Linked DNA regions of Oryctolagus cuniculus. The protein of the gene in region 1 purifies or fractionates together with the protein of each later gene. This does not show direct contact. Links are inferred from orthologs where the notes say so. Each region holds a gene or a part of one and is shown on either strand. Other genes may lie near its edges.

Region 1 (4,560 bases):
GCCACAACACCTGCCCAACAAATATTTATTGTCTCAGTTTCTGCAGGACAGGAATTTGAGAATGGCCCCACTGGGTGGGACTGGCTCAGCATCTCTCACCAGGTTTCAAGGAAGACATGAGGAAGGACTGGAAGATCTGCTTGAGATGGGTCACTCACAGGGCTGACCATTGCCTAAGGGGGCTTGGATGTCTGTAAGATCTGGCTTTGGGTTTCTCCCAGAGTGAATGGGAGAGGGCAGGAAGGCGAGAAAGTTGCTGCGAAGACTCCTGTGACCCGCTCTGAGAAGTGACACCCAGCCAGCCCGCGCTGCCCACGTTCTATCTGTCCTAAGAAACTCACATGCAAGGGAAGGCGAATCACAGGACCTGTTGGCATATTTGAAAATCTGGCCGTGGGGAACCAGACAGTGCTGGGAGGGACAGCTTCACTATACACATCTTCATGTCCTTTGTCTTGGCGTAGGTATTGGACTCTATTAATCCAGTAGTGATTACATTTCTTTTACAAAGAAACAAATTTGAAGCTATCTGGTAAAGAACTGGAAGAGGATGTGAGTGGGAGAACCTGGTTGAGAAGTTGACCTTTGGGCGGCCAGCAAAGAGGGGAGGACTTGGCACTGACCTTGTGCCCCGGGCCTGCATCGCGTTCTGGGGCTACTGCAGGTCGGGATGCCGGGTTCATGGAGGGGGAAGACCCTAACCAAAGCACAGCTCCAGCCTGTGGTCACTGTTGATCCTAATACTGGATGGCGCACAACAACGTGGTACTTTACACACGCCACCCTTCCGCCCCCGCCCTACCTCTCGCAGTGTGACAGCTAACCTTTAACGTAATTTGCACAAAACTGTGCAGCACGCCAAGAGGATTGAAACCTAGTCATTACGCGGGCAGAGACGTGGCACGAAACCCAACAGGTTTATTGTCTCCATAAAAAGACCGTAAAGGTCGCGCGTGCGGCCGTGCGCGCCACTAGCTGTGCGGGGCACTCCGGCCACCGCGCAGCGCAAGTCGGAGTGGGAGAGGAAAGTTTTGCACATTAAACTAGTCCCTGCGTCCCAGCCCGGCTGCCCCCAGAAGGCGCAGCCGCTCCTCCCCAGGCATCAGGGCGTCCGGGCGCGCCCTCTCGCGCCCCAGCGGCGGCGAGCACAGTCCCTCCTGCCAGTCCAGACGGGGTCCCGGCGGCCCGGGCCCTCCGCGGACCGAGGTGCGGCGGGCACAGCTCGAGGCTCGGCGGGGTCCACCCCTGCGCGGCCTCAGCTCTCCAGACTCGCGCGCGCGCACGCTCGCCGACGCGCTGGCTCCATCCCGGATCGTAAGGGACGAAAGTTGGGGCGAACGTGACGCGGACACGTCACCGGCCCGAGGCCTCAGGCCGGGGCCGGAGGGCACGCGGAAAAAAAGGCCGGCACCCGAAGCCGGGGAGCCGGTGGGCGGCGGCGGCAGCCGATCCCATCCGCTGCTTCCGGCGCCTTCCGGGCCCTCGCTGCGCCGACTCTGCCACATCCTCCGGTGACGTCAGCCGGCGACGCCATATTGGAAAGGCGCCGCCGCCGCCGCCGCCGCCGCCTCCGCTTCGGAGCTTGGGCAGTTTTAGGGGCCGCGGCCGCAGGCAGGAAAGCGCCCCTCTTTCTCCTCGCCGAAGCTCAGCCTAATTCCCCATGACCGCCCCCGGCCCCGCAGCCGACGGACGTCGCCCCAGCATCCGGATCTAACACGGAAGCCCGGGTCAGGGGCCGCGGGGGGAGGAGGAGGGCGACCCGGTCGGACCCGCGTCCCTCTTCGGCCCGCGCGGCGCTTCGGCCGGAGCCATGACCTCGCTGACCCAGCGCAGCTCGGGCCTGGTGCAGCGGCGCACCGAGGCCTCCCGCAACGCCGCCGACAAGGAGAGGGCGGCGGGCGGCGGCGGCGGCAGCGGCGAGGACGACGCGCAGAGCCGCCGCGACGAGCAGGACGACGACGACAAGGGCGACTCCAAGGAAACCCGGCTGACCCTGATGGAGGAGGTGCTCTTGCTGGGTCTCAAGGACCGAGAGGTGCGGGCGCGGCTGGCGGGGCGGGGGGCGGCGGCGCGGGCCCGGGGCGCCAGGTGGGCTCCAGGTGGGCGCGCGGTTCCCCCCCGGCCCGCGCACCTGCGCTGCTCCCGCCGGAGCCGCGCGCCCGGGAGCGCACCCCTGGCCCCCGAGGCGCGGTGGAGTTGGTGGCCCCGCTGCGCGCGGCCCAGGGCTTTCCTGGCCCTCGGCGTTCAGAGTGTTGGATTTCTCCTCCCCTCTTCCTCGCGACGCCCTCCTCGCCTCTCCCTGCGCGTTTAACCGGTGTAGACCTCAGGCGCGATTCCAGCCTGGGGACCACCCGGTTGTGAACAGCCGCACCTGGAACCACCAGCACCCCCAACTTCTCGGGTTATTTTGGACCTGGGAGGGAGGGTCCACAGATCCTGTTTGCTGGGGAATTTTGTTTGTTTTAAAGACGTACTATTTGGAATTAACAATTCGGTGAAATGGTAATGAGGAAAAAAAGTTACGAAGTAAAGTCGACAAAGTTCTCAGGAACCCTACAAAATGACTTTTTAGTTCAACTTGGTTTGGGCGACAGCTTATTTTTTTAGTATCGCTCTAAATTTGATCGGTTCTGACGGTTCTCGAGGTTTTGGCCGTCTTAAGAGCTTTTTTTGTGAGGTGCTGGAGAAGTGAGGGCTTTTGACGTAGGACCTCAAAGCTTTAGGTAGGGTGAAGCTGTGAAAAATATTTGTTTTGTGTTCTGCTTTTGAAAAGGATTGTATTTCACCCCAGTATCCAGAATTTTCACATAAAAAGGTGAAAAAAATGCCAGTGGGTGTGTACGTGTGTGCACACTTCTCATCCTATAGTGAACCTTTCGCTCTGTGTATCATGTATCTATCCATCTACAGATGGGTGTTTTGAAAGCCAGACGCAGGCGTGGGAGCTGAGGCAGGGGAATGGGTGTTCTGTAAGTCATGGCTGTAAGGTGGTCCCTGAAGCGCTTTATCCCGGTGTGGGAACCTCAGACAGCTGTCTTGAGTCAGACGCAAAAGTATCTTGAAGTTTTGTTTTGATTTTCAGAAAGCTTTCCAAATTCACCAAGATAGGCAAAAAAGTTTCATTCTTAAAAAAATCGAAGGTTTAGGGAAACTTAGCAGATGTTACTGTTGGTGGACTCCTGATAAAAGTCGAGAACTACAGCTCACCTTGATGGAAACGCCCAGCGTGTCTGCAGTATGTTGTTTTCCTACCGAAAGGGGCCTGGGCCCTGTGTAAGGACTGAGCTGTGCTGACCCGAGCAGGCTGTGTGTGAAACTCTGTTTTGTTCTTGTGATGAAAAAGCGAAGTAGAAGTATCTTAGATTTTAGAAAGTATTCAACTTTTTTTTAAATGCTTTACACTTTGGAATCTTGGTGTTAAGCATTTTTCTTTAGGTCTTTTTGCCTTTGGGACAAAAGTAACACTGTAGACATTTTAGGAAAAAAAAAGGAAAATGAAGAAAACGTATACCTGAGTGGACATTTTGGCTTGTAGTTTTTGAGACTTTTCTGTATGGATAAAACTCGGAAACTAGAACTTCAGAAACAAACACAGTTAACATTTAGTGCTCTGAGTCACAGCAGTGAGAAGTTACGGTGAGAAAGTACCTTTTTGTTTTTTCAAATATGTGTTAGCTCTAAATGTGTATACTGAAACAGGTTAACATGCTGCTTTTCCGTGGCTAGTTTTGATGACGATAACCTGAAGAATTTGTTGAAATGTGATGGTACTTACATAATTTAGACAGTTTGAAGTTCTTTGATGGCAGGTAATTGAAGCCATCTGTGGTGCGTATTTTGCCTCAGGAGGTGCTCGCTATACTTTCCAAGGCCTGGCCAAGGTCCAGATGCTAGCTAATTCTGAGCTGTACTTGCTGACTTCACAGCCACATAGGGAAATCTGCCCCGCCCCCTTTCGTAGGCACCTCCAGGACGTGGAGAGAGAGGGCTGGGATTTTGCTTGCTTTACATTTTGGCTTTGGGGATTAGCCTGTATATTTTTTCTTTTGTCACATTTTAAAGAAAGATTTATTAGAAAGGCAAAGAGATCTTCCATCTGCTGGTTCACTCCCCATATGTCTGCAACATCCAGGGCTGCGCCAGGCCAGACCTAACAGCTAGGACTCAATGCAGGTCTCCCACGTAGGTGGCAGGAACCCAAGTACTTGGACTGTTCTTGCCTCCCAGGTGCATTAGCAGGAAGCTGAATCTGAAGTGGAGGAGCTGGTGCGCCATCCAGGTTTGGGATGTGGGCGTCCCAAGCAGAGGCTTAACCTTCAGCACATAATGCCTACCCCGTTAGGTTTTTATACACTAGTAACTGTCCCTGTCAACTCAGCCTTCGGGTTGTGGGTTGTAATGCCTGGGACGGTCACCCTCTCCCTCCTGTATCACTTTGTCGAGGGCGCAGGAAGTGCTGTTCTCCTGAGCCAAGGCAATTGTGCTTGTTAGTATTAGGTTTCAATTTACTTATTTCGTTATTTACATATTCCAAACTTTAGCCAAAATATATTGACTGCT
Region 2 (4,563 bases), on another chromosome or scaffold:
GGCACCGCAGATGGAGACTTAGCCCACTACACCACAGCGCCGGCCCCAAAGCCCTTCAACACAGGGGGATCCTCTGTTCCGGAAGCCGAGGCTGCAGAACGAGCCGGCCTTTTCCCTAGCAATGACACATGGAGCGTCCACCCTCACGGTCGGGTTCCAGGGTAGAAAGGAGTCCTTTGGAAGAAAGCCCCTTAGAGGGGGCGCCCATGGGTGCTTTGCGGTCCATTGCCGCAGAGAAGAAGCCTCAGGGAGATTAGCCGACCGCACCCCACCACCGCCCCTGTGTGCAGATTCTCACACCATCCCAGTCCGGCTCGCTTCCCCAGGAATCCCAGATCCTGTACTCTCACAGCGACCCTCAAACCGGCTCAACGACATCAGTGCAAGTCTGGCAGAGGCCTCCTGCATTCGGTGACTAATGCTTCCTGCGGGGATTAGCTCTGCCTCCTAGCCAGGCTGCTCTGGGTGGGTGTCTAGCCCAAGAATTCCTCCAGGATCTCCTGAAAGTAAGCGCTCACTGAATACACACTCGGATAGCAACCGCTGACACCCAGCCTCCCATCTGGGAGGGCTTTCCCATACCTTTCCGAATTTAACCCTCACCAGTGTATGGAGTCCCACGATGACCTCTGACCTTACTGGGCTGGCCACGTGGCCTGCCACCCTTTGCTGTTGAAATGGACCAGGTGTCCTGGAGACGGTCAGCTGGGTCCTTAAGGTGTCAACCTTTCCCCATCGCTTGTCTTAGCTCCTCGGGCAGCCTGCTGTCCATTTCAGGGGCAGGGCAGCTAAGTCCCAGCTTAGTATAGGGAGAATGAATGCACGGTGCATTTGTTAAACTCTAGCCAGGGTAAAAAGTGAGCAAGCCAAGGGCAGGGAGGCGCTTTCCTCGGTTACCAGGAGCCTGCTGGGTGCTGGGCATCTGAGCTTTCCATTCTCTGAACGTAGCGGCAGGGAGCTGCGCTCTGGTCCGGAGCAGGAGCGCTTTGGCTCCGTACTGGGAACGCTGGCCAGTTTGGGGCAAGGCGGGGATCCACTCTCTCCAAGCAGGAGTCAGGATAACTTAGGGAGGACCTTCCATATCACAACTAGCCCTTGACCTGGATTGCATTGCAAAGCGCCAGTCCTGCTGCCTGGCTGCTTCTCTGTCCAACAAAAGCAGCAAAGAAACAAGCGAAGGCAAGGGAGAAGAAGCCAGAGGCCGGTTTATGGCAACGGGATGGAGCAGCGCAGTAGGCAGGCAGGAGTGGAAATAAGAACCGGCGCCGATAGAGTTAAGCGGGGCCGGCCGGAACCAAAGGGGTTAAGGGGGCCGTCTGGAGCGAGTCCGGTAGGGCCCGCCCACAGTGGGGCGGGGCCCGGGCGGGGCCGCGCCGAGCGAGCCTTTGGATTGGTCCCGGGGAAGGCGTTACGCTAGGACCGTACCAACAGCCGCGGCCTGCGGAGGCGGGGGGGTGGGTGTGGGACGGCCGGCTCTGCGCGGGGAGAGGTGGCCAGGGAATGGCCGGACCGGGGGTGGGCGGGAGCCGCAGTGGCGGCGGCGGCGGCGGCTGGGGGCGGTGAGCGCGGCGTGGGGCTGCCCCTCCCCGGAGGCGGCGGGGGCGGCCGGGGCCGCGCCGCACCGCACCGTGCGGGCGGCCATGGAGCGAGCCTAGGGCCCGACAGGTGAGCGGCATGGGGGGGCGGCGGAGGGCGCGGGACCCCCGGCGCGGCGGGCGGGCGGGCGGGAAAGTGCGGGCGGGCGCGGTGCGTGGCGCGACCCGGGCGGGGCGCCTCCCCGAGGGGCCGGCCGGGCGCCGCTGCCCTGAGCGGTCTCCCGCGAGTGGCCGCTGGCGGGTCCCTTCACGGGGCGGCCGGTGCGGCGCGTGCCTGCCGGGGGTTGCGGCTGACGCGGACGCCGCCTCCCCGGCCCGCCGGAGGTCGTTGTGGGGGAGCCGCTGGGGCGCCGGAGCGCGGTGCCCGGAGGCGTCCGGCCTCGGAGCCGCCCCCTGTGTCCGGCCGGGCGCCGGCTGCGGTGGCTCGAGGAGCGCGCGCTCGCGGGTCCCCCCGCGGGGCCCGCCTCGTGGCCGGGAGGCGCGAGTGACCTGCAGGCCCGAGGCGGGAGCCCGCGGTGGGCGCCGCTTGAGGAAATGCTGGGGTCGTCCGGAGTGGGGCCGCGCCTGGAGCTTCCATTTCCGGGTGTGCGGCCCCGCGATCGCGAGCGAGCGGGCAGGAGCGTGGCCGCGAGTGATTAGTGGGAGCGCCTGTCACGCCGCGTCCTTGATCGCACGGGCTGATAGGAGACGCGCTCTCAGCGGCCGGGCTCCCCGGGTAGCAGGCGAGGGGGCGCCAGGGTCTGGGCATGGCTGTGGGATGTAGTCCAGATCTCCGTGACCGGGGTGGGCCGGGAGTTGATGATTTTGGAAAAGGCGACGCCTGATGCCGCGACTTGGGTCTGGGGCCCCGTGTCAGTGTCACCCCCGCCCAGCCGGCCTGCTCCTGCAGGTTTGATTGCTCACCTTGGAAAGTCGCCGTGTGGGGCGCCTTGTTAGCTTTTCCACTGTAGGACTTTCTATACATCTGGAACCTGGCGAAGTTACGATTGCCGATTATTAACCATGGCCTAAAATCCTTGGGTTGAAAACCATGGGTCCGTTTGACCCCAGGGTGATTTCTTCAAAGTTGGGCTCCAGATCCCAGCGTGCACGTGTATTGGAAACATCGCCGGGCCAGGTGGCAGTCGGGAGCTGGGATCCTGTGCTGGGTCTCCCAGGTGGGTGGCAGGGACCCCACGGGCCAGGTGGCAGTCGGGAGCTGGGATTCTGTGCTGGGTCTCCCAGGTGGGTGGCAGGGTCCCCACGGGCCAGGTGGCAGTCGGGAGCTGGGATCCTGTGCTGGGTCTCCCAGGTGGGTGGCAGGGACCCCACGGGCCAGGTGGCAGTCGGGAGCTGGGATCCTGTGCTGGGTCTCCCAGGTGGGTGGCAGGGACCCCACGGGCCAGGTGGCAGTCGGGAGCTGGGATCCTGTGCTGGGTCTCCCAGGTGGGTGGCAGGGACCCCACGGGCCAGGTGGCAGTCGGGAGCTGGGATCCTGTGCTGGGTCTCCCAGGTGGGTGGCAGGGACCCCACGGGCCAGGTGGCAGTCGGGAGCTGGGATCCTGTGCTGGGTCTCCCAGGTGGGTGGCAGGGACCCCAGCCCTTGAGCTGTCACCTGCTGCCCTCCGAGGTGTGCCTTAGCAGGAAGCTGGATCTGAAGGGGAGGAGCCGAGACTCAAACCAGGTACTGTGATGTAGAATGCCCATATCCTAACACGGCTGAGAAGCTGAGGTGCAGATGTTGAAGTGCTAAATCATATGCCTGCACTCAGAGCCCTCCTAAGATCGATTTAAAGTTAATGTTTTGTATTTCGTCAGTAACTTTTCTAAGTTTCTGAAGATGTGGAAGTGTGACTTCTGGAACCGCCCAGTGAAGTGTGTGGACAGGAGGCCCTTCCACATTGGAAGTTGCTTATCAAAGGAGAGTCCAAGGGCACGGCCAGTAATCAGTCTCACCACAATAAAGTGCGGTGGTAGATACGGGTGATAGTGAGAGATGACCAGGATCTGGTGGGGCTGGCGGCTTTCCATCTCTGTTGCCTGATGAAAATGTCACACACGGATTTGCCAAGAACCCTAGCCACATTTTGTTAAAGGAAGGAGAACACGGGCCCTGCTTTTCTTCCTGGGGACAAACACACCCCTGTTGATGTATTTCCTTTTCCATAATACTTTATATCATAGGATTCTCCATGTGAAGTTGCTAAGTCCTTGCCTTTTAGTCCATTCTTTTGACTTCCATGCGTAGATTCCAGCTCTTTGGCACGGCTCTGAATTTTGAATTCATGAGGGAAATTTTCCTTGTTTCCTTCACTGTCCGGGCAGACTGAAGTTTGACTTACATGGTGTGGCTATCATTTCAGTGGTGTGAACCCTGAAGCCGGATCCTGCGACTCCTGAATTGCGAACTTTTTAAAATAGCTAACCACAGTCGTGGTCACTTGGTGATTGCTACGCTCTTATAATAGAAACAGGAGGCTGCTCTGTGCCATCTGTGGTCCTAGAGGCAAACAAGAAAGGAGATAATCTTCCGAAGCGGATGTCAGGTCCCTGAGCCCAGGTGCCCGGTGGTTTCACGGATGGAGGTGGAGAGTACAGTTACAATGAGGCCCAGTAGTTGTAATCGGTGTACTTTTCTCTCTGCACTTAACAGTGCCTAGTGCATAGTAGGCGTGCAGGAAATATTTGCTGGCGGAATGAAGGAAGGAAAACAGTATGAGGAAAGCAAAAGTATTCTAGTACATGTACCCGTGAACTGTTTCGTTCCTCTTTGTCACAAGAAAATAAAAGCCAAGAAAAATATTCCCATTCATGTTGAAGTGTTCTGTGAAGGGCATCGTTTATTTGCTGGAGCTGCCTTGGGATCCAGTTCTGGGATCGGATGGTGGTGTAGCCACCTGCGGCCTGGGAGCAGCCTCCACAGGCCCGGGCCAGGTGCGTCCTGGCCTTGCTTCTCCGTCTGCTCTGGCTATGCTAGCGGAACAGTTGG

Evidence for each region.
Region 2: the proteins of GOLPH3 (region 1) and FAM20B purify together in Homo sapiens (affinity purification with mass spectrometry; 3 studies listed by BioGRID and IntAct, with this or other methods). This does not show direct contact. The link is inferred for Oryctolagus cuniculus from reciprocal best matches to the Homo sapiens genes GOLPH3 and FAM20B.

Annotation. Positions count from the first base shown.
Region 1 is NC_091445.1:58,310,787-58,315,346, reverse strand, and holds the start of GOLPH3 (Golgi phosphoprotein 3), read left to right. Parts: upstream 1-1,518; 5' UTR 1,519-1,810; coding exon 1,811-2,035; intron 2,036-4,560. UniProt on the Homo sapiens protein: Phosphatidylinositol-4-phosphate-binding protein that links Golgi membranes to the cytoskeleton and may participate in the tensile force required for vesicle budding from the Golgi.
Region 2 is NC_091438.1:7,216,683-7,221,245, forward strand, and holds the start of FAM20B (glycosaminoglycan xylosylkinase), read left to right. Parts: upstream 1-1,476; 5' UTR 1,477-1,665; intron 1,666-4,563. UniProt on the Homo sapiens protein: Responsible for the 2-O-phosphorylation of xylose in the glycosaminoglycan-protein linkage region of proteoglycans thereby regulating the amount of mature GAG chains.